Lepisosteus oculatus: one gene and its partners. The protein of the gene in region 1 purifies or fractionates together with the protein of each later gene. This does not show direct contact. Links are inferred from orthologs where the notes say so. Each region holds a gene or a part of one and is shown on either strand. Other genes may lie near its edges.

The links. Proteins that work in one complex are often made in the same cells at the same time.
Region 2: the proteins of nup107 (region 1) and nucleoprotein TPR fractionate together in Homo sapiens (co-fractionation; 4 studies listed by BioGRID and IntAct, with this or other methods). This does not show direct contact. The link is inferred for Lepisosteus oculatus from reciprocal best matches to the Homo sapiens genes NUP107 and TPR.
Region 3: the proteins of nup107 (region 1) and nup37 purify together in Homo sapiens (affinity purification with mass spectrometry; 7 studies listed by BioGRID and IntAct, with this or other methods). This does not show direct contact. The link is inferred for Lepisosteus oculatus from reciprocal best matches to the Homo sapiens genes NUP107 and NUP37.

Annotation. Positions count from the first base shown.
Region 1 is NC_090702.1:23,597,621-23,605,434, forward strand, and holds the start of nup107 (nuclear pore complex protein Nup107), read right to left. Parts: upstream 3,023-7,814; 5' UTR 2,743-3,022; coding exon 2,735-2,742; intron 780-2,734; coding exon 691-779; intron 1-690. UniProt on the Homo sapiens protein: Plays a role in the nuclear pore complex (NPC) assembly and/or maintenance. Required for the assembly of peripheral proteins into the NPC. May anchor NUP62 to the NPC. Involved in nephrogenesis.
Region 2 is NC_090704.1:8,458,865-8,466,011, reverse strand, and holds the start of nucleoprotein TPR, read right to left. Parts: upstream 3,013-7,147; 5' UTR 2,946-3,012; coding exon 2,795-2,945; intron 2,006-2,794; coding exon 1,901-2,005; intron 1,569-1,900; coding exon 1,495-1,568; intron 1,337-1,494; coding exon 1,240-1,336; intron 795-1,239; coding exon 691-794; intron 444-690; coding exon 279-443; intron 1-278. Other genes in the region: odr4 (protein odr-4 homolog), read left to right, coding at 4,235-4,333, 4,584-4,718, 5,065-5,160, 5,889-5,995, 6,419-6,455, 6,876-7,016.
Region 3 is NC_090702.1:54,841,058-54,848,571, reverse strand, and holds the start of nup37 (nucleoporin Nup37), read right to left. Parts: upstream 3,013-7,514; 5' UTR 2,859-3,012; intron 1-2,858. Other genes in the region: parpbp (PCNA-interacting partner), read left to right, coding at 3,603-3,752, 4,704-4,937, 5,592-5,702, 6,907-7,077. UniProt on the Homo sapiens protein: Component of the Nup107-160 subcomplex of the nuclear pore complex (NPC). The Nup107-160 subcomplex is required for the assembly of a functional NPC.

The sequences.
Region 1 (7,814 bases):
GGGTTCTCAAGAAAGCTTCTCAGCGCCAATGCTCTCATTAAGTTTGGAGATTTTTTTTCCCCAAAAAATGGGGAACATTACTTGTTCACTGTAGCGTGAGTGACTTGCTTTTGTTGGCTGTCATTTTAGCGATGGGTATCGTTATTGTACTGATGTGCCCACAGTCTGTTTTTCCTATATCAGAGCTTCAAATTCACACCGGTAGATCGCACTGGACTGGCAAACGAAAAAGTAGATCTTACATTAAAAGAGGTTGGGCACCCCTGGTCTAAGTCCTTTGGTACCCCCTTACTGATTTGACATCATTCCCTGCCGCTCCTATTTTGGCGTCCCAGACAAACAAATCTGACAAGTCGACGCAGGACGCTTGTGCAGAATGAACACACGGGTCCGAACTATGCTTCCTCTCCCTTCGTGACCCTGTTTTCCGCTCACTAACAAGTTCTCCCATCATGCAGACCATGGACTATCTTGGATTCACACAGCTATCTATTGCTTTTTTTATTCTCACGCAGAACGTCACAAAACAAGCTGGAGACAGCACACTGCTGACTCTGCCTGTATCCTCCACTCTAGGGTCCAGCAGGAAAAGGCAGCATCAGGGTGTTTATTGGCTGTCTCCCCGGGCCCACGCCACGCGTTTCCCGCCAGCTGCGGGACAGGGGGCCGGGGGACACAGGGAAAGGATACAGGCCACCTTCTTCTTCAGGCTCCTCCGGCGGGCCGCGCGCGTCACCTCCAACTCCCGGACCACCGGCGACATCAGGTCATTGCTGCCCCTGAGACAGACAGAAATGTCAGCCCCCCCATAAAAACCAAAAACAAAAACACAAAGGCGTCTTTAAAAACGGACATGAAATATTGCATAACCAGGACTGAGTGCTCTTCCTGACCCCTGGCGGCAGATCCCCTTAGGCAACATGTCCATTTCCAACCGCATGGTGACAGGTGTCTTTTTAAAGAAAAAGAGCTATGGTGTTTTATCTTGCTGTGGGTAACTGTAGACACGAACAGAACTGCATCTCCCGCCATTAAGAGCAGGTTATTGCTAGTTTTCTGCTGACACCGCAGCTCGAGGAGGAGGGTCTTCGCTGGGGACAAGGGAAGGGTGTGATAAATGACGTAAGGACCTTAAGCCGGCCAACAAGGGAAGGTCATTGAGCCCATCCAGCCCATCTGGTAGCTAGTAACTAACTGATCAGAGGATCATCCTGCTGTCTGGGCAGAAGCCACAGCAGGGATCAGCTTTGCAGTATGTTCCAGGCTCCCACAACCCTCGGCGTACAGAAGTGTCTCCTGTTCTCCCCTTACGTTGTGCCCATTGATTCATTTCAGGACTTATTCTGAAGAGGCCCACAAGGCTGACTGTGGCTGTACCTCTGGGGATTCGGAATATCTCAATCAGGTCCCGTCGTAATCTTTTCTGTTCAAGACTAAAAAGATTTTGTTTGTTTAGCATGTCAGAAGAGGACATTAATACCAGGACTGTACTCCCAGAATATAGCTATTTTCTGAACAAAAACTGAGTGCTGTTCTAAAATGAGCTCTTATTTGTCTTATTTAACTATATAACCTATTTGATTTTTGTATTGTTTTCACACATTATAAAGAAATAAAAAGATGCTACCATAAGCACCCAATTATTTCTAAATTTGTGTTTCCCATTTTGTACTTCGTGCTAGTTTCTACAATCTGCACGTAACGCTCTGTCTAGATTAAATGTCATCTGGCAGGTGAGGTGTTTGCCCAGTCTGGAATTCTAAATCTTGAATTTACTTGGCTGCTTTCATAGTGTTTGTTCATCCTCATAAACTGGTAGCATCATATGAACTCGATTGTTCTCCACGCCAGAATCTAGATCACTGATAGAAATCTGGTAGAGCACAGGTCCCATGTCCCTATGGCACACCACTAATAACATCACCCCAGCTAGAGCATTCATCCCTTACCCATGTTTTTATTCACTACCCTTTAAATTTCAACTCCTAATAATAAAACAAACATTTATTTGAATACTTATCACCTACAATGTTAGAATTAACCTTTTAGAATTAACTTTATCGCGTTAATCTGCCGCTGGTGCTCTTGCGTGTTTGGAGAACTCTAGCAAGTGTGTTTGTTAAGCGAGAACTACCCTTTTCCAATCCATGCCGACTATTCCCTAACCTTTTTCTGCCATATGGAGGATCCTCTGCTTTCAACTGTCGTTTCCATAACCCCACATACTGTACATTGACAGTAGTAACCCTGAGCTCCCTAGACATATTTTGTCCAGGCGTTCTCGGTATGCTACTTTCCAACAGCAAAGTACAAAGCTGATGTGCCGTTAAACGCATTATATAGTGGAATTGCTAAATACCTTATATAATGTTCATTCTTTGAATTAACTCTGCCTACATCCTTAAATAAAGAGTCCAATATATCGATCTCAAAATGAAAAAATAACCGTTCAGTTCAATGTGTTTATATTACGGGCGCCTGGAGGGTCGAGTATCGAATCCATTTCCACCCATGTACATCACAAATGTTCACAAATCAACGTCGGGTACCCGTCCCACAGCTCACTGTAACAGGTGAGATGTGTTTCACTAGTGTTGTACCCCGCGGCCTACCCTCCAAAACTGGCATGCCACATGTCTCCACACTGCTACGGTACAGTGCAGAACACGGGTATAATAACCATTAAAAACGTGCCACAACTAGGTCGGGAAGAAGAGAATATGCAACATCTTACCACTCCATCGCTGCAGCATTTATATCGGAATAGTCAGTAGTGGACAGAGCGACTTCCCACTCCTTCTTCCCGCTCGGCCAGGGGGCTTCTGTCGAGTCCAGAAGTAGTCGATTTCTAACTCAAGAACGGTTTACCCTCAAGACCAGGTCTTCCTTCTGAACTTAAGAAAGCATGGATTTATAGAACCACCTTTACTTTTCGTCCTCTATGGTCACAACAACACGGAATATCTCGAAAAAAGCTGCTGTCTGAATATTTTACCGGCGGGCTGGCCGATCGGTGAAATCGGAGAGCGTGTAGGATGCCTCGTCAGTTGTGGTAAAGAGGGTACACCGAGGAGTCCGCTAGGCCTGCAGACATCAGAGCGCCACCTAGTAGTTGAAACACGAACTACTACCCATCCATTTTCGCTCCTCTAGTGTCGTTGAGGGGCTCAGTGAAAAAAAGTAATTTCTTACATTATACTTACAAAATGAGTAATAGTGACAGTAATAATAAAGACCCAGAAACCTTATCCCAAAATTAAATTATTTAAGTCTTTAGTGATAAGTTTTAAGATTAATTAACTAATAAAAGTATTTAATGAGAAAGTGTAATGAGTTTTTTGGACCAGTAGGACTCTTTCCCCGATAGTGATGAACTGTTTAAAACATATGAATAAAAAATAATTCACAATACAAATACGGTTTATTATTTTTTTCCAGCTCAAATTGTTTAACTTCTTTTCGAGGGTTCGCACCAAATGGTGATAAATTCAAGAAACCGTATTCTGCACCTTTCATATCAAGCAATAACCGACTTAGGGAATGTCCCAGGAAGCTTTTTACAATTTGTACGGCATGTAGACTACATCCAGACTTCATGGTCAAAATCTAAATTACTTCGTCTTATAATTAGGTTACTATTCGGTGATCAACAAATGTTAAAAAAGATCCAGAAGCGCTGGGAGAAAGAAGAAAATCCTGTTCTTGGTTTAAGGACAGAGGTGGGTGTCTGATTCAGAATACAGTAGACATTGGGTCCTACTGTAGAGATTCACAGCGGCCTTCTGTTACAATTTGCTAGACCCCTTTCAGGACAGCTGTAGCCTTCAAATCATTGCTCGTGGCAAGTCAGCACGCACACAAGTTACACGATTGCCCCTGAAGTGCTGTCTTTTGGCCACAGTGCTTTAATGTGTAATAAATAATAATAATAATAATAATAATAATAATAATAATAATAATAATAATAATAATAATAATAATTGCTTACACTTATATAGCACTTTTCAGGACACTCCACTCAAAGAGCTTTACAGGTAATGGGGACTCCCCTCCACCACCACCAATGTGCAGCATCCACCTGGATGATATGACGGCAGCCATAGTGTGCCAGAACGCTCACCACACATCAGCTATCAGTGGGGAGGAGAGCAGAGTGATGAAGCCAATTCATAGATGTTATTAGGAGGCCATGATTGGTAAGGGCCAATGGGAAATGTGGCCAGGATGCCGGGGTACACCCCTAGTCTTTTCGAGGAACGCCCTGGGATTTTTAATGACCACAGAGAGTCAGGACATTGGTTTTATGTCTCATCCGAAGGTGTAGTTTTCTGTTTACTTCAGTGCTGAAAAGCATGAGATTCAAGTGTTCCTATTGTCACAATAGGCACGAACGGTATGCAGAGTTATTTCTAAGAAACACATTTGCGCTGGCAAACTGCATGAAGCCCATGCACCACGCTGTCATGTTGTCCTCTGACACACACATGGGGTTTAGTCATTGTATGAAAAGGGTGGGTAGAAAGAAGTAATGTGAAACTTCTGTAGACGAAGCCAGCTCTACAACTAGGCAGGCACAACGTTGCATGTAGAGGCTAACGAAGACAATCTAATAAATAACACACACACACAAATACAAACAGGATTCATTAAAGCTCTGTAAAGTGAAAATAGAGAAGAAAAACACAATGTTCCAGGTGTGGAGTCTTCCTGTGACGCTTCGTGAGTTCTGTGCTTTTTTTTTTACCTTTTCAGCACGGACTCGTTCCTTCGCAGCTCCTAAGCCTATAGCTGCGCACGCATTAACACTACAGTTAACACTAACATGTCCAAAATTGTCTTGTTGTGCACTTGTCATTCCCCCTTTAGGAAGGTACCAATCCATTTTGACATTTCCATTTGGCTAATAATGGATGGGGGGAGGGGGGAGAGGGAATCTTTTTAAACTTCTGTAATGGCAGTTTTGAGAACATTTCTTCAGAAAATAAATATTTAGGCTACACTGAAATGCTGCTTTTCAACTTTTCCTCCACAAAATATTTATTCTGTAAACTTGCATAAGTTTATCTTGAAATGTGATGGTGAACGCGATGGTAAACGATACACTGAATGGCTGCATGAATGTAAGAATGTTTATAAGCGTGTACCACTGTTTAGTAGAAAAGGTTAATACAGTATGTCACTCTTTGTGGGCACTTTACTGAACAAGGCTATTGTCCTAGCTTAAAAACAAAACAAAATAACCCAGACGCAACCCTTTATTCTTCCAACTCAAAATAGAACACGACTCCTACGAGCAAAACCTATTTCAGGATGTCACATTGCGCAAGAAGTGTCCAGACATGCTTTAGCGGCCTTTTTGCTCTCTGTTTAGAGGAGGAGTAACACCCAACCCAGCTCAGCTCGTCTTTGGGACCGATACACAGCAACAGGATCTCCATATCGTCTGAAGAGACACATCTGCTGTCTGCCAGCTATGCAGGCTCCAGCACACAGTTGCAGACTGTTTAATGAATTGATTTGTCAGCTCCGTGTTCTTAAGAGGATTCAGACTGATTAAGATTTTTTTCAATTAGATTCATTTGGCGACTCCAGCATTGCCAGAGGAATGAGATCGGGAAGGGTAATACCTAGGAATAAGCTACACGAAGTATCGAGTAAAGCAGAAATGGACATATGCATAGTTCGCAGTCCCTTATTACCAAACATCCTAGCCACACGCCACAGCAGTGCTGGGTGTATTTGATTTTCGGCTGTGTTTCACATATTTTTATCGTAGCAGCCTTCGGTAAAGGGATTACTAGACAAATCAAAGAGGGGAAAAGTGCTGAGTGCGTTTTGCATTTTTGCAGTCCAATTTTGTTTACCTTACGCATTTCGAGATGCAAAGAAAGATTAAAGAGCGTTAAGAAAAGTAATTCTGTAGGTGCAGAATAAGATACCAATCAACAGAGGGGTGGTTTGTGATTAAAATAATTGAATAGAACTAAAAATAGACCCCCCCATCGAGAAAATAATGAGGAAAAAAGTAAGACACCTATTTACGTAAATCATTCGGTGTAAATCCAGATGGTGTAATTGACTGCAATAGCATCGAACTACATTTCACGGCTGTTATTTTTACATATAAATAAACTTTAATTTCATTTCAGCATAAATTAAATCAATCTAAAACATTATGTATTAGGGAATTCGTGCTTTATAAAGTAATTCTTGGTGGAAATACTCTACTCACTGGAAATGTTCCAAATGATATAAATTGAAAGGAACGTGTTTCCATACCAATACACAACTTTCAGGACTAGAGTCGGAATATTTGGCGAGGGGTTGAAGTAGGCTTCATGTATAATTAATATCTTCGATATTTTTCCCAAATGGGACGATAAAGCTAGCATTGAAAACAGGCGACTGGCTCCTCCCAAAGGCTGAATGACAGAACTGCCAGTTGGGGGCGCTACAACACCCGGAGACACTAAAGAAAGCCACCCGCTGAGTCGTCGAGGAGCGCTTGCTCAGCACGGGAAGAGCAGATCCCCATTGGAACCGAGTTTCAGACACGTCTGAGCTCACACAAGTCATGCGATCGGATTCCTTTCGAATCACATCTCAATACAAATATAACCAAGAGGAGGTTCATAAATTAAAACGGTCATTCACTGTATTTTAACAGCACAAGAACAGTCAAGGAAAAAGGAAAGTTCCTCACAAGGTGAAATGGACACCAATTAGACACTGAAGGGAAATGACTCATCGAATTAAACAAATGTCTCACTCAGGTATTCAGTGAGGAAGAATTTGACCTCATGCCTCAGGCTGAGCAAAGGAAGTTGCATGTTATTCACAAGAAGAGAGTGTAAGCAGTACTTAAAATCTCTGGGGCCTGAATGTATTCGATAAATTGTACTTCTGAAATGAGAGATGTGACTCACGGGCTGGTAACTCTTCCAACAGCCACAGAGGAAAGGGGCAATACCCACTGACTGGAAAATTGCTCACAAGGCCCATCCTGTCATCCCTAAGAAGGTGACTAAACTGAGCTGAATAATTATAGACCAATAAGTCATACTTCTGTTATATGTATGGGTATGGAAACTAAAACTGAACTAGGTGATCTATACAGCAATAGGATTCTAGCTATTAAGCAGTGTAGATTAAGAAAAGATGGGTCATCACACAAGCCCTTTTCATATACTGTATAGCATATTTCAAACATAGGAGGGGTCCCTAAATCCAGCACCAAAGTGCATCTCCCACCTACTTGACAGACGGCAGTTCCACCACACAGATCATTTGAAGAAGAGAGAAAGTGATTCACCATTTGAGTTACAGGGGAACTTTAGGGAGGCTGTCTGTGCAAGTTCAGGGTGCCAAGACAGAAGGGTTTACACTCCTTTTCTGACAAGCTCTGCCACGGATTCTTCAATGACTAGTCAAGACATCAGTTTAATGTCCACAGTACCTTACAGCATTGCGTAGTGTCCCCATACCGGTCTAGAGGAAAGTGTGCCACCTACTGACCCCCACCCCCTGAAGCAGCAATCAGATGTCCCTTGAAGATATTCCATCCCAATATTAAATATGTTCAGAAGTGTTCTGATATAGATTCTGAAATTATAAGTAACAGGCATTCAAGAAAATGTGTGTATTTGGAATAAGAACTAGGCTGTGGATAGAAGAACTGTATCCAGACTTCCCACAACACTTTGTGAAACTAAGGTTGCTGCTGGAAGAGGTGTTAGTGGTGCCAGCAGGGGTCGCTCACCCTGCGGTCCATGTGGGTCCTAATGCCCCAGTATAGTGATGGGGACACTATACTG
Region 2 (7,147 bases), on another chromosome or scaffold:
TGCACTTTAGTATAGTATTAACACAATTTTGGGATGCATAACTATAAACCTTCTCAATGAATGAAGAATGCACTTGAGAAGTAGCTGCACCTAATCAAAAGAGTGGATTTTTCACACCAGCCAAAGCTGGACCAAATCAAGTATTATTTTTGTTTAAATATGTGTTTACAGTTTCAGGTGTTTATAACAGAAACCTGAAGTGCAAGAGTATTGTTTCTTAACCCTTGCAGGACCAGACCACAACATATAATCTGCCTAATAAAGCATATAAAACAAACCTCCTCCTTTTTATTCTCCAGGTTGCATTTGAGCTCCAGAACTTCATTGCCTTTCTCTCGGGAGACAGAGAGCAGCTCGTCAGTCTTGGCCTTCAGCTCTGTGTTCAGCCAAGAGTTCTGACTCTGTAGGAGCTCTTTCTCCTGCTCCATCCTCTTTTCCCGGTACTAAAACAAAAACAGAAAACAACTTTGTGTTGTTGTCCTACTTAGATTCTATTTAGAACATGACCAACCTGTAATATTCCAAAGATGCAGTTTTCTTAGTGGTTGTGACTCCACAGATTCACAACAGCCTCTGGCAGATAAATACAGTTTTCCAAATTTACAGTTTCCAGGCAACCACTTCAACTTTTGGTTTAATCTCAATGTTACAAGTTTCACTGACAGACTCCTAAAGCTGTATTAACCTCACCTTGATTGAAACCTCCGAAGACTGAAGCTCATCAAGCTTTAACTGGAACTCCATCTTTGCAGTATTCGTCTCCACAAGCTTGTCATTGAGACGTTTAAGGTCCTCTGTTAAAGAAAGATGACATTTTTAAGTATCTGTTGCATAAAAAGAAAAACGACGGTAGATCTGAACTTAACACCGAAGGACTCCAATTTGTAGAATATGTTGCACTGCCCTTTTTTTGAGAGCTTTGCTGAGGAGCACAAATATTTAAAATTTCACAACGTGAAAAGACTCCAGTACATCTCACTCAGCCCCTCTTGTGGCCTTTTACTCTCAAAACAACTCACCTTTATTCTGAAACTCCAAGACAACCAGATTCCCTTAATACAAGTTGCCAAACAAAAACTAGACTTCTGAGTCTTAAGATTTCAAGCAACAGTGTCAAGAAAAACCCCATCTAAACTGTATAACACAATTCATCATAACGACAGCAGCTATGCAAATTAGGCTGTCTTAAAAGATTCCTTCAAGGTCAGAGGCTTTGTGGCACAACCCAGATTTTCATACCACTTAGATGCTCCACTTCCTGGGACCTTTTCTCCAGTGTTCGGACCAACTCTCGTTTTTCAGCCTCCAGTTCATCTTTGACTTTGGTGAGGTGAGCCTGAAATTAAACAGAAGACGGTGGTTCTGTGATGCCTGCTCACAAGCAAAATGTGCCCCTTTTAAGTTTCAGATGAAATGACATACAAAATCCAAAGAAAAGGCATTTCAGAACAAGTAACTAAAATGTCTGTATCCAAAATGTATTTTGATGTTCACCTGCTGTGCAGAAAATCTCTCTTCTGAGGACTCATATTCTCTCTTTTGCTCTTGCAGGGTCTTCAGCTCTGCACCTAGAAATTGAACGCAGAAAAATTAGTTTAGAGCCCTACTTGTAATGTGAATGAGTCTTTACATGGCAAGCTTCGAGCAGTAGCCAAAGATTCATCCAAAAAAAAAGAGGATTCTTCAAAAAGATAATTTACCACATGGCCTGAATCACAAACTATACACCCTGTGCAGGAACAAGCATGAACAAAGATCCTTAGAGTTAGCTTCCAAACATTTTTGACAGTAGCCTACCATTTACAACAGCATGCTCAAAGGCATGGACTACATTCGTATCTGGGTGAAAACTATAGTACTGTCACATTTACTATAAAGTGATTGCAATCCGTGTACTTACTGAGCTTGGTGAACTCCTCCTGGAGATTTTGGCGTTCCTGAGTCTCTGATACGAGTTTCTCCTGGCTCTGAGCCAGTCGCTTCTCCACTTCAAAGTACTGCTGCTCTGTAAAGATTAGAGAATAGCCTGCATCAATCTTGGTTGCACTGCTGTAAGAAAAGCTTTTAATATTAATGAATGATTAAGCACTGTTTAACTCCTAAATCTGTGCAAAATCATTCAATAACTGCTTATATTACAAGACAATCCTGTAACTTAACCTGACAAACAGTTTTGCAAAAGTTTAGGGTACAGGTATGTCGTTAAACATAGGTTATTTATATTTGCATAAAAAGTCTGACAAATCAATGATTTATACCAGGTAGATAATCGTCCCCATTCTTTAAATTACAAATTAACCACTACAGCCTGAAACGGGACAAATTCACGTTCAAGATCAGTTGCTCAGATGGGGTTAACATTGCAGTTTACAGACGTAACAAACTCGTAATTCAATATTCAAAGTATGAAGATCAAATACTACAGATGGGGGATTTCCTCCAAATTCACAGTTTGTAAATCAACAAAAAAAAGACAGAAATGGAAAACTCAACCTTCCAAAAGGAATCAGACAACATCCTTTTTTGAGGTCTGAAAAGCCAGGTGCCAAAGGCCTGTTGTTTGCCTCCTCTCGGCAGCCATATTAAAATATATGAATAAACACGCAGCTGGAGAAATGGGCCCTATACCAAAGTCAGTTCAAACATTAAGGAAAGCGATGTTCACAACTGCGCACTTATAATCATATGCTCTCAAAATCCAAAGTCTGCGATCGGAATGAAACGCGAGATCTCCCTGCGTCTCCAGAGCAGGCATGACGAAAGATTAAACATGAACGTTTCCCAAACATCTTACCACTGTCTACTTTAAATCGCTCGTGGTGGGATTTGAGGGCATCTATTTCAGATTGCTGGTCTGACAAGAACTTCTCGAGCTTGTTTTGGACGGCTTTGGAGAGCTTGGCCAGCTCAGGCCGTTCCAGCATCTGCTGCAGAATCGCCGCCATCTTTAACCCCCTCAAGTCTCAATTCGGGCGAAAGCTCTTGGAAAATACCGCCTATCTCCCCACTCTCTCACATAGATATATATAAAAAGTCCTAGGTAGGCCGGGGCTTGTCGTCATTTCCGTAAGTAAATTGCATCGCCACCTAGGTAAAGAAAAGTGTAGTTGCAATTATTCTTCTCCTTGTAATGTCTGACAGAAGATACGTTTCTTTTTTCACGACATATTAAAGGTCATAAGTAGTTACAATTTAAAGAGAAAAATATATAAATGTGTTTTTTAGAGGAAGATGTGCATGCATAACGATGAACCTCCAGACGTCTTGGGCTTTTTACGTTTATCCACAGCATTTTCATTTAATTCATCTTAAATATTTATACTTTTTTTTCCTGTGCAGCTAGCGCATAGTTTAATAAGAGTGTAGCATTTTAGTTAAGTCCTCCGAAGAAGGACGTCATAATCAAGCAACGCAAAATGGCCAACCAGCGGTTGCTGGCTTTGTGACGTTCATTCCTAGGAAAAAAAAAAAGCTGTTTTGGGTGGTCTTACCAAGCAGAAGTGAAGCGTGCAGGTATGAGTTTCTGATGTTAACATATAGTTGAGACAGTCGTGGACAGGCAATTGAATGTTGGAAAGTTAGAAATTTATGTATGCATATTACATGGGCATGATTTGCAGTGCCTTCTATTTTTACTCTTTAGCTACAGAAGGAGTATAATGATCGCAGTACACGTTTCAAATTTAAAAGTAGCTAAATTTTAAGTTACGGGTTTTGAGAAAAGCAATATTCGGGCTGTTTATTTACACCCGTATGTTATGATTGGGTGTGTGCGTGTTGAAATTGGAGAATAAAGCGTGTGCCTTCTCACAAAATAAGATCTTTGTGTGTAGGATATTTGCGATCTGTTGTACAGAATTCCTTATAATATTTACATTTTGCATTAAACAATCCAGCTTAATTTGAAGGGAAATGTATAATACTACAAGGATTAAAGTCCCGGATTCTTTAAGAAGTACTTGACCAAAGAGATGACGTGTAACTCCTGCGCTGCTCTGAATCAGCTGCTGTAACCCGCACATGATCGATAAGTAAGGATTCAGCAGTCTGTTCGTAAATACACTGTGCTTCTTGGGATTCGCATAATACCCATCTGTTTCAGCTAGCGCTTTTGTCCAGAGCGACTTATAATAGTGTCACAGTTTGCTGAATCAATCTAAGTGAAGTACCATTTTACTGATATGTCATTTTTGCTTTTCCCCCTTAGAAGACAAGTAATGATAAATCTCTCAGGATGGGGAGAAGTTACTTTGTGGAGGACGTGGTAGAAAAGTACATTCTGAACCTTGTCACTGCAGAAAAAGCCTTCACAACCGGTCTCTTAATTGGGCAGGTGAGGTTCCTTCGTATGAGTGGGCTTTTTTAAGAAGCGAAGCATAAAACTAAAATAGTTTTACCATTAGACATCTCCAAAGTAAATCCAATAAATGTAGAGATTTTTGTGTAATGTAAACTTATCATCTTTAAAAGAGAACTAGATATGTTTAGTGTGACAGTGCACTCCATAAACAATAAGCTCAGTACATTCAAAATAAAACTATTAGTTGATGCTTTACTAATACTTTATTTTTCTTTGCGTTTAGTGTTCTCCACAGAGGGACTTTGTAGTGCTTGCAGTTCAAACGGCCCAGAGAGAAGAGCAATTTAACCAGCCCAAACAGAGTAAAGTATCACTAGTGGACATTGATGAAGACTGGGTCATTGGGCATGCTCGGCAGGTGTGTGATTTAATGACTTTGCCAAGAAAAATTCACATCATAATGAAAGCAGGTGGAACTGAAGTATATATCTGGTATTGCAACAAATAGACTTAAAGGCGTTAAAGGCGCAACGAATGATTGTAAGAAGCAATAGCATTTCTACTGCCTATATGACAACAGATGTCAAAGTCAATGTTAAAACGGGTCAACAGTGGAATAATAAATATACACAGATACGGAGCTTAATAAAATAGAATTGTTTCCTTTAGTCAACGTATACTGTTTATGAAAATCTTTTTAAGGAAATTTGAGAACTCCCCCCCCAGTTGATCTCTTTGTTTTAATGTCCCGTGGTGCTGAACAGGTTTCTCGAATGTTGCCTGGGGGGCTGGAGGTCCTTGGCGTGTTTCTGATCGCCTCGCCTGAACTGTCCAAGGAGTCGCAGAATACACTGCGGAGGGTGAGTGACTCAGCCCCTGAGTCAGGCCCATGACTGAAACACACATTGAGCGTTATGGCCCAGATCCATACTGTATGTAACCTTGACTAACTCCACTTCTCATACAACACATTTTGGAGAGAGAAAAACTATCGATTTTACATTTAGATTCATAATTGATTTATCTTAATTTCAGTTATTATTTTTCTGTTTCTGTTTCAGAATTCAGTGATACTCTGCTGTTGGGTCATTCGGTCTAAATGTATGACAGTAAAGTAATACGTTGTTCTCCAAGCCCAATACGCGATAGATGTATGTTCCAAGCAAGCGTTACTTCATTCGTTGAATTTAATAGTTCCAAGCCACAGTATGTAAAGTGGAAGAACAAATGTTGTTACATTGCAAATGGAATAGAAAACGTTGCAAGTGATTCTAAAAGTTTTGTGTTTCCCCAAGATTATCATGTTCAGTATTCCCGGTTGCTCAGACAATTCACTTTGCTCATTGTGTGCATAATTAGAGGGGAAACTGGCCAAGTCTAAAACAATGAGCTATTCTGTAAGTAAGAATTCCATTGTACCAGTACATATACCGGTTACATATGGCTAAAAAGTTCAAATTAATCCGAAGTGGCTCCAATAAAAAAAAAAGGTCATTCTGAATTGGACAGAAAGGAGAAAATCGTGTATTAACAATTGTACCTGTGAGAAAATCATTTAGGCATATGAGCTTTTTTTTTTCTTCCTTAGTTGGTATTTGGAGTGGAGAAGTCGGTAGTGAAGGGAAGGCTTTGGAAGCTATCAGAGGATGATGTCTCAGAAAGAGTGACTCTTCACATCTGCTCGAAGACGAGGAAGTATCCTTTAGAACAGTGTGTGAGGTTGACAATGCAGACATTCTCCTGTACATAGGAGCAGTATCATTAATCAAAAACCTTGATGTAGGAAGGTGAATCTGAATCCGACCTCACATTTTAGGCTAATTCTTAAATATTAATGCAATCATAAAAAATACAAAGCAGTGATTATGATGTAGTTTGCCATGTCAACTTATGTTACTTGTAACCATCTAACGTATTTGCACTTGTGTACTTGGAGGTGCGGGACTTCCTAATGTGTTTCTGTTGTAAGTTTCTGTCTGCAAAACCATGATGTAAGGTTAATGTATCTATTACAGATGTTTATATGAAGCAGACACATTATTTTCAGTAGCTCTGACATTTGTCCTGATATTAATGTCACCTAAAGCTTCATAATTTTCCTTGACTTGGTGAACCAAGAGTGACATGTCGGACTTTCGATGTGCAAGACCCCAAGGTGATATTAAAGAGAATTTAAATATTGCTTTGAGAAATGCAACCTTAACCATACCCTACATAAAACAAGTACTACCTAAAACATCTACTAGACCTAACCTAACCTTAGACCTCATGATGACCCTAAACCTAATCAGTTAATTGGAGTGTAAAATGTGTTCCTACCATAGTTCCAAACCTAATTTACCCTGTCACTAGACGTGATTTTAATGCTATCCTTAGCTCTTATCCTCAAATATGTTACCATGTTTAACCTTTTCCATTAACTCCTGGCTTAATTCTGCATCCTTTTATACAAAAGCAGTGAAGAAAACAGCTTTTACAACCTTCTGTGCAGTTATTCCATTGAAGAATGAATGCTTATTAAGAATCTTTGTCGTCGTTATATCTTTACTTGTCACTTCTTAATGATGCCCTGAAGAGCTCTGCTAAGCCAGCAGACTGGAAGTACCAGCCAGGACTCTCATCCTCATGGTCCGTCCTACAGTGCAGTGTTAAGATAGACCTACACATCCCAGTGCCAGAAGGGTCCTCTGTGAAAAATCTGGACAAATATGTGAAGGTAATATTTGTGTTATTTTATTTCCTCATATGTAAATCCAAAGGAATGCAGGTGTTGCAAGAATGGGGAGAACAGGCTTCTTGTTTATAGTTCTCTTTTGTATGTAGGATTACCAGAGCAAAATAAATAAT
Region 3 (7,514 bases), about 31 Mb from region 1:
TCTCTGCAGCCAAGAATTAAGTGAAGACTTTCACACAGGGGGGTATTCTGCACGTCTTTTCCTCTCTCCGATATTCACATGTACAAAAGCAGGCTGACACAGCTGTAACAGGATCAAAGCTCCGTTTACCCAGACCTATCACGTTAGTGTAGGGCGCCACTCTGGTCAAGCACTTATTTTAAGGTACTGAAAAGCTTTAAATTGCCTAGATTCTCATTTTTAATCCAATATTCCCCATTCCATAAACCACTAATGCTATCTGAAAGCCTCAGGAAAGAACCACAGGGGACATAGGTCATAAACATTTGAGCCCATAAACAACAGAACATCACCTCAGTCAGGTACAGAAACCTCTTTTCAAAGACTAAAAAATCATTTGTAGATCTGAGCATGACTTGAATAAAAAAATTCAAATGACAACTACCAGATGATCTTCAATGCAAATTGTATTTAACACTTTTCATCTGAATTTGTAAGGCACTGTACTTTTACTTGATTATTTCTACATTTTCTGCCGAGAATGCTCTGAAGAACATAAGAATATGGCCTTTCCAACCATTCTGCTCATTTGGTATCTAGGTAAACCTAAAATTTTATCAAGCTTCTTCCCAGCTTGATGGAGGAGACCTGACTTTGAGCCACAACAACCTGACTGTGAAGCCTGTTTCGGATACCCACAATGCTTTGAGTAAAGCGCAGCTTTACAATTTCTCTCCATGGTACAAAACATAAACCTTTCTAATGCACTTATTTTCTGTGGTATAATGCATGCTTTAAATACTGCAATCACAGCAGAATAATTAATCTGGCAAAATCACACAACCACAACACAAATCTGGGAACATGAACACACTTGAATGTGCTTAGATTATTCCTTATGTGACTGCCAGCAACTGACATGACATATTTGCTTAGTTTGTAACATTTACCATGACTTGTCGGTTACAAACACATCTGAGGAATTATGTTCTACTTATCAACCTGCTGGAGTGTGGATTCTGGGATCCATATGACCACCTTGGCAGAGAGATCAACATGCACAGCTGAGCGTAGGGAAATTGGGAAAGGACTTTCTCCCCCTATGGGACCACGACTGTCACACAGGAATTCTATTTTCTGGCACTTCTTGCTTTGTTGGAGTTGAAGAAAAAAAAACTGTGGAAAAGTTAAATGGACTTAAGTGCGTTATGAAAGTTGATCTCTATATAGGAAAAATGTTGGAAGCGGGGATATGCAGAGTGGAATTTTTTATCCTGCTATGATCTGACAACTATTTTTAACTGGATTGTATGTGATGGCTTTAAATATACACACAGGGGAACCTGTTAATCATACCGATTATTGATCAAAAAGAAAAATCACGTAAACCATGAGCTAATATTTCTCCCTCTGATGCCAGATTCAGCCGACAGATAACTTTTAGTAAGAAAATAGGAAAGGTTACAAAAGACAAGTTTGGTCCATCTAGGTGTTAAATGTTTAGCCATTCAGGGGTCTGAATGAAAGAAATCTGGTGATTTCTTGAAATAAGTCAGGGTATTGGCTTCAGCAACATGTCTCGGTAGCTCGTTCTACACTCCAACAACTCTTTGTGTAAAGAAGTGCCTCTTGTTCGCATTTCAAGTTGTTTCTGAATAGTACAAGTGCTCCCGCAGACAAGAGAACAAAATTCTAATTTCTCGATGTCTGGTGTCAGATTCCCTTTCTTTTACAGCAGGGGATTCTCCTAAAACAGGGAAAGGGTCAAATGAAAAGTGAGTTACCATGATTCTCGGAGAAGGAACTATAACTTGGATGGCTCCGATCAAGAAACCACAAGAAAGTCTACTTTTTCACGTGACGGAGTGTGAACTACATAAGACGTGCTGAGGAGCCAATGCCTGCATAGCCAAAGCGATCCCAGGGTACCAAGAAACAGTGGAATTTAGACAGAAATCAGCCTGGATCACTGTCTGAGACTCCAGCAACACGGTATGGGGGAGAAACACAGAGGTCCGGGGGTATTGCACTGCAGGGCTCCCCAGTCCTGGTCCTCAAGGGCTGTCAGTGTGCCTGCAGTCCCTAAGACTGAAGAGAGAAGCTGGTAAACTGGTCCAGTTAAGCCAGCAGCGATTTGATTCAGGTCAATATCACCCCAGCTGGACAGAAGACCTACAGTACGGACTCACCAGACCTAGTCAAAGTCCAGACCTAAATGTTGTGTCACGGGCAGTTTATGCTTGAAAACCCACAGATGTCACTGAGTTGAAGCAGTTCACGGGGACTGGAAGGAACTGGTTCTACTGGTTGAAGAGGGGAAAAAAAACTAAGCACGTTTGTAAGGGAGCAATATGTTTCCAGTCTTTACTGCATGCAGCTTACGAAGGGAAACTGGTTGATAAAGACTCGAAACCCGGCGCAGTCAAACTGAACTCCATATGCTCGAAGCCTTAAGAAGAAAATTCGTTGAAACTTCACGGGATGGTTTGACAGCACAGTGAGCAACGTGGTTGCTGCTCAGCCGAAATGTGCTCTGGGTGGAGACAAGAGGACTAAAACAGCGACAGCAGTCAGCAACGCACACAAATGAAGTTGTGCTCGACATGTGCTGCCCCGAGTGATAATACCTGCACCGATACAGAATGTGCTCTGATAAAACCCTGCAATCAACATGCTGGCATGCATCAACCGCCGGGTGTTTTCCTTAATATAAAAGTACAAATCAATTTCATTTCATTTGAACTTATTTCGTATGTTTTTGTTTTCTTAAAAGTCCTCACAATACTAAAAATATATATTGCCCTACACTGAAAATAAGTGAAGTGAAGTCACTCGTTCATATGATTACTTTTTCCACAACAGCTTAACAGCGTACCTACCAGGATATCGGAATGACACGGGTAAGGTCGCTAAATCCAACACGTTGGTGGTATTTCAGTGGTTTTTCGTGTTAAACTCAAGTTGTACCACCAGCTTGCACAACGCAGAAACAGAGAACCCGCGCGAGTCTGTTTTCTGCTTCCAGCAATCTGATTGGCTCCCCAGGATCATATCCGGGTGAAAGGTTGCCCCCTCTCATTGGCCAGTGTCTTGCTGTCAGGAGTTTTAAATTTTTTACATTTTCTGAAACAGCTTCCCTAGGGAGAGCATCACGGTTGTTGACACAGGGACTTGCAGGTACTTAAAAATATGTTAAAGCTGCCTTTAACGTGTATCTTAAGGTTATTTCCCCTTATACTTTAAGTAAGGTTTGAAGCGTTTGATCGTTTTGTTTGATACTGGCTTTGATGTTGCTTTTCTGAAGTTTGAAGTGTGAATGCGTTGTATTTCAAACGCATTGGTGTTGTTGTTAGTAATAATAACAACTTCTATTTATAAAGCGCCTCTCCAAACACGAGGACGCTGAAAACTGAAACACTTGTCTTATAAAATTGCGAGTACACAGACCCCCAATTAAAACCAATCTAGTTGGATTAGGTAGTGCTGGTTAGGCAACTCATAACTGTACGTCTTCGATCAGTCAAAGGAGCCATCACCACCAACCACCAACAGAAACATCGCTTTTATGTCGCATGTATGTGCTTATTGTTCACAAGTATCCCCCCGTTTGGTTTCTAGAAAAAATGGCGATTCTTCAACAAAATCTCAAGGTCCTGGTGAAAGCCTTCAGGAGAGACTGTTACCGGCTGCTCGGGTCCGAGAGGATAACGATATGCAATGCAGACGACATGTTCACGGCTTTGCAGCTGGTCATGGCCGAGGTGAACAAACAGGTGAGGTTTTGCACGACGAAGTAGTTCTCTAACCGTGAACATTAGGAGTTTCATTGAGTGCTAATCCACTCTGTGATCAGCTCTGACGTCATGTGCCTGTCCTCACACTGGCAGTCAACCTTCCATTCATAGAGAAAATAAAATGTAGACTAAATTCAAATCCAAATCTTGAATGTCTCCATATGAATCCAAATAAGTATGTTAGTGTTCACCCCTGATGCACCCTACTATACGTATCTGGACAAAAACCTACCAACACCAGGACTGGAGATTTAGGTGCTAAGAGTTTGCCTTCTGTACCCCAGTCATTCAGTGTGCCGTGCTCTTTTCCCATACTTGTTTTGTGTTTTTGACATCTTTTCTCAGTTTGTTTTTTGGTTTGTGCAGAGGACACCAGGTTGCAGGAAATTTAATCCTCTCCTCTTGAAAAAGTGTGTACGGCACATACTTGTAGTTATGCGCTGCCGAACCTATTAGTTTTAGTCAAGTCCTATTTGTGTTAGAAGACGCACTAGTTACGGTTTTAATTTCTGTGGTCTAAAATAATGTGGCCCTGCTCTTCAGAGGAATCTTTCCCTGGCTAGATGTACAGAGCCCTGTAATATCTGAGGAATGTGTAACTGGATTAGTACCTGCTGGGATTCCATGAGGAGCACATGACTTAACAGCTTTAATAGTTATTTTTATGTCAGCTTGGCTTTCTGTGCGGATGAGGGAACAGCATTGCAACACATTGATGAAAAACATTTGTGTATCCAGGAGGAAATCCCTTTTTTATGTGGACAAGATTTTCATAAGGTTATCATCATTCTGCTATGATAGGGGGGGGGGGACAGATAAATGGGCTTAATCAGTTCTATGCATGAAATGAAAGACATGAACCAGATAATACATTACATGAGATGAACATGAGTACTGGGTTCATATTATTCCCTTCTTGTTTCCATTTAGGAGAAAGGAGAATTTGCTGTTTCACTGAGTGAAGTCATTGTCACCTGGGCTTATTTACTTAAGGATAAACTGAACTTATTCCATGAAGGTTCACATGCTCCAGAGAATTACAACATCATACGGAAAAGCTATGACTCCTTCCTGAAGAGATCGAATACTGTAGACTTGATTGACATCTTTGGGATGGCTGAGCAGTTAAAAATAGAAAGCGATCCAGAAAATCGCCTTGCAGCTGTAAGTACCCCTGTTGGGAATCCTGCTTGCTACATATAAATGAGGAAATCTTCTGCAATGCTTTAGTGCAATGTGACCTCTGAGGCTCCTTTACTTTTTGAGGTGCTGTTTAAGTCATGGCTTATGTAGTGTTAAAACAATCACTCCCTTCATCCCCCAGAATACCTCCTTAACCTCTGTAAAATAAAACTGGTTCAGGGCTGACTTCTCTTCATCTCTAAATGTTTTGGAATTTAGAAATGTCATTTCTAAAAGTCCATTTTCTAAATGTCATTAATAAAAATTACATTCAGATTATGTTGTGAATTGATGGTAGGGTAGCACAGTGCTCAGCATTGGGGAGCTGACTTCAGTTTTTGATCTGGGGTGCTATTTGTGTGGAGTTTGTATGTTCTCTCATTTGCATGGGTTTCCTCCCACAGTCCTGAGATGTACTGGTAGGTTGATTGGCTTGTTGCATTAAGTAGGCATGTCTGTGAGGCCCTACAATAGACTGACGTCCCATCCAAGGTGTATCCTGCCATGCGCCTGTTACTTGCTGGGATGGGCCGTGGCTCCCCTGCGATCCTGAATTTTGACTGGCATCCAGATTTTCAGGTGGGATTGTACTAGGGGAATCTTGGCTGTTGGTGATTATTCTCTCCTTTGAAAAAGGTCCAGCTGTTTGAGTTTCTGTCAGGTAACTCTGAATACTGCGATCAGATTGACCTTGTCCCTCCAGTTCCATCGACTCCATCCAGCAGGCCCCGATGGACAAGTTCCCAGGTACACTTAGTGCTGTTTTGACTCCAGAAGACAGCCACTCTTCTTTTTCCGTTGTTCGTAATATTTTATTGTGATTATTGTATGTAGATGACACGATAGATAGTTGACATTTTAAATTCAAATCCTGTGGTCATCAGCAACAAACGTGCCTGCTTTTCATAGTGTTTGAATCAATAAAATTGAGATCCAAGCGTAATGTTTTTCTAAGTTTTCAAAAATGATATTGGACACCTGCTATAGGATCCACGCGTCAAGGAATTGGATACATATTAACGATTTGCTCAGCAAGCATCTGATATCGTGGTTCTGTACAATACATGGAGTACTTGTGCCTTAGTCTTATCTGCCTTGTTTGACGTAATAGATTTGAACTTTGGTTAGCCAAAGAACACAGTGTTCTCGACTGTGAAACCGTAAAACTGACAAGAACATAGGTCTTCAGAGGACTTTTTTCCGTCGTGTTCTGCTCTTCCTGTCCAGTGTTTTCAGTGGAAGCTCCCTCAGTAACGAGAAAGTTAAATCCTATTGCCCTGACTGATGAGAGCAAATGGATCTAGTTTAGCAGGATTTATAAAATGACATATGATTACAGCAAGAATATCCGTGTCCGTGGAGTAATTCTTAAGCTCTTATGATCTTAATTAGAAGTTACAAGCAATGGATGGGACAGCCTTTGCTTAAGTTTGTTAGTAGCTTTTGATGTGTGTGTGTTCTGTGTTCTCTGATATGATGGGGGGAGGTATTGGTTGCTTGGTGATTTATGAGTACGTTTTCAGACATCTAGGATGCATTGCAAACAATTTGTGGCTACAGTGTGCTCTTTCATTCTTGATTTTAAAACGAACAATTTTCTAAATGCACTGTGAATATGTAGATGGGCTTATTGAAAGAAATGTGCAGGGTCTTTGAACTGTAAAGTATTGGCTGCTTGGTTAACAGTAGAGGTTGGCAATGAACAATGTTATTTTAGATTGTTTTAAATTGGGTGGGGTGGCCTTCACCAGCTATAGTCTTCAAGGTGCCTTTTTTTATTTGATAACTGGAAAAACATTTTTCCTATCTCTAAGTGTCATTTGAACGGTTTTACTCTCTCTTCGGCCTTATTCCTAAAACAGCTGCTGCGTTATTGTTTTTGAAAACAGATGTTCTATCCGTTTTGTGCAGGCTGAACTTAACGTTTGTTTTGCATTTCTTTCCAATGCAGTTGCTGAAAGTGATGAAGAGGCTAATCTGTGCATACTTAAACTTGCTGCTGAACTCCAAGAACGATCTGGCTGTGGCCCATGTGCTAAACATTCCTGACAGAGGCCTTGGAAGAGCTGCCTTCACCGATCTGAAGCATGCAGCACGCGACAAACAAACGTCTCTTTTCTTGGTAGGAGGCAAAAAGAGGACATTGTCTCTGGCAATAGGCTCGGGTGGGCGTTTACTGGTTACCTGTTCTCTCAAAAATGTGGGTTAACAGAGCAGAATTCAGAGGTTTTGTCAGCAATACCATACCATACCATACATCCTTGCGGTATGGACAGTCTTATAAATGATCTACTGAGATACTGTATGTGAAAATGCTTTAGCCTAATTAATACTTTTTTACTGAATTTGCTTAGCTTTCTATCAAACAGCATTCGGGTCCTCTCTGATTTCAAATGTCCTGCATCTTGGATATGATTTTAATCTCTTTGATCTCAGACAGGTCTTCTTTTGGTCACTTCTTAAAACTAACTAGAAAAGGCAGCTGCATTGAAAGGGGCTGACTCTCTTTTTGCAGACTTCAAATAGTAAGGATTAGTCAAAATTGGAGGAACTTTGCTT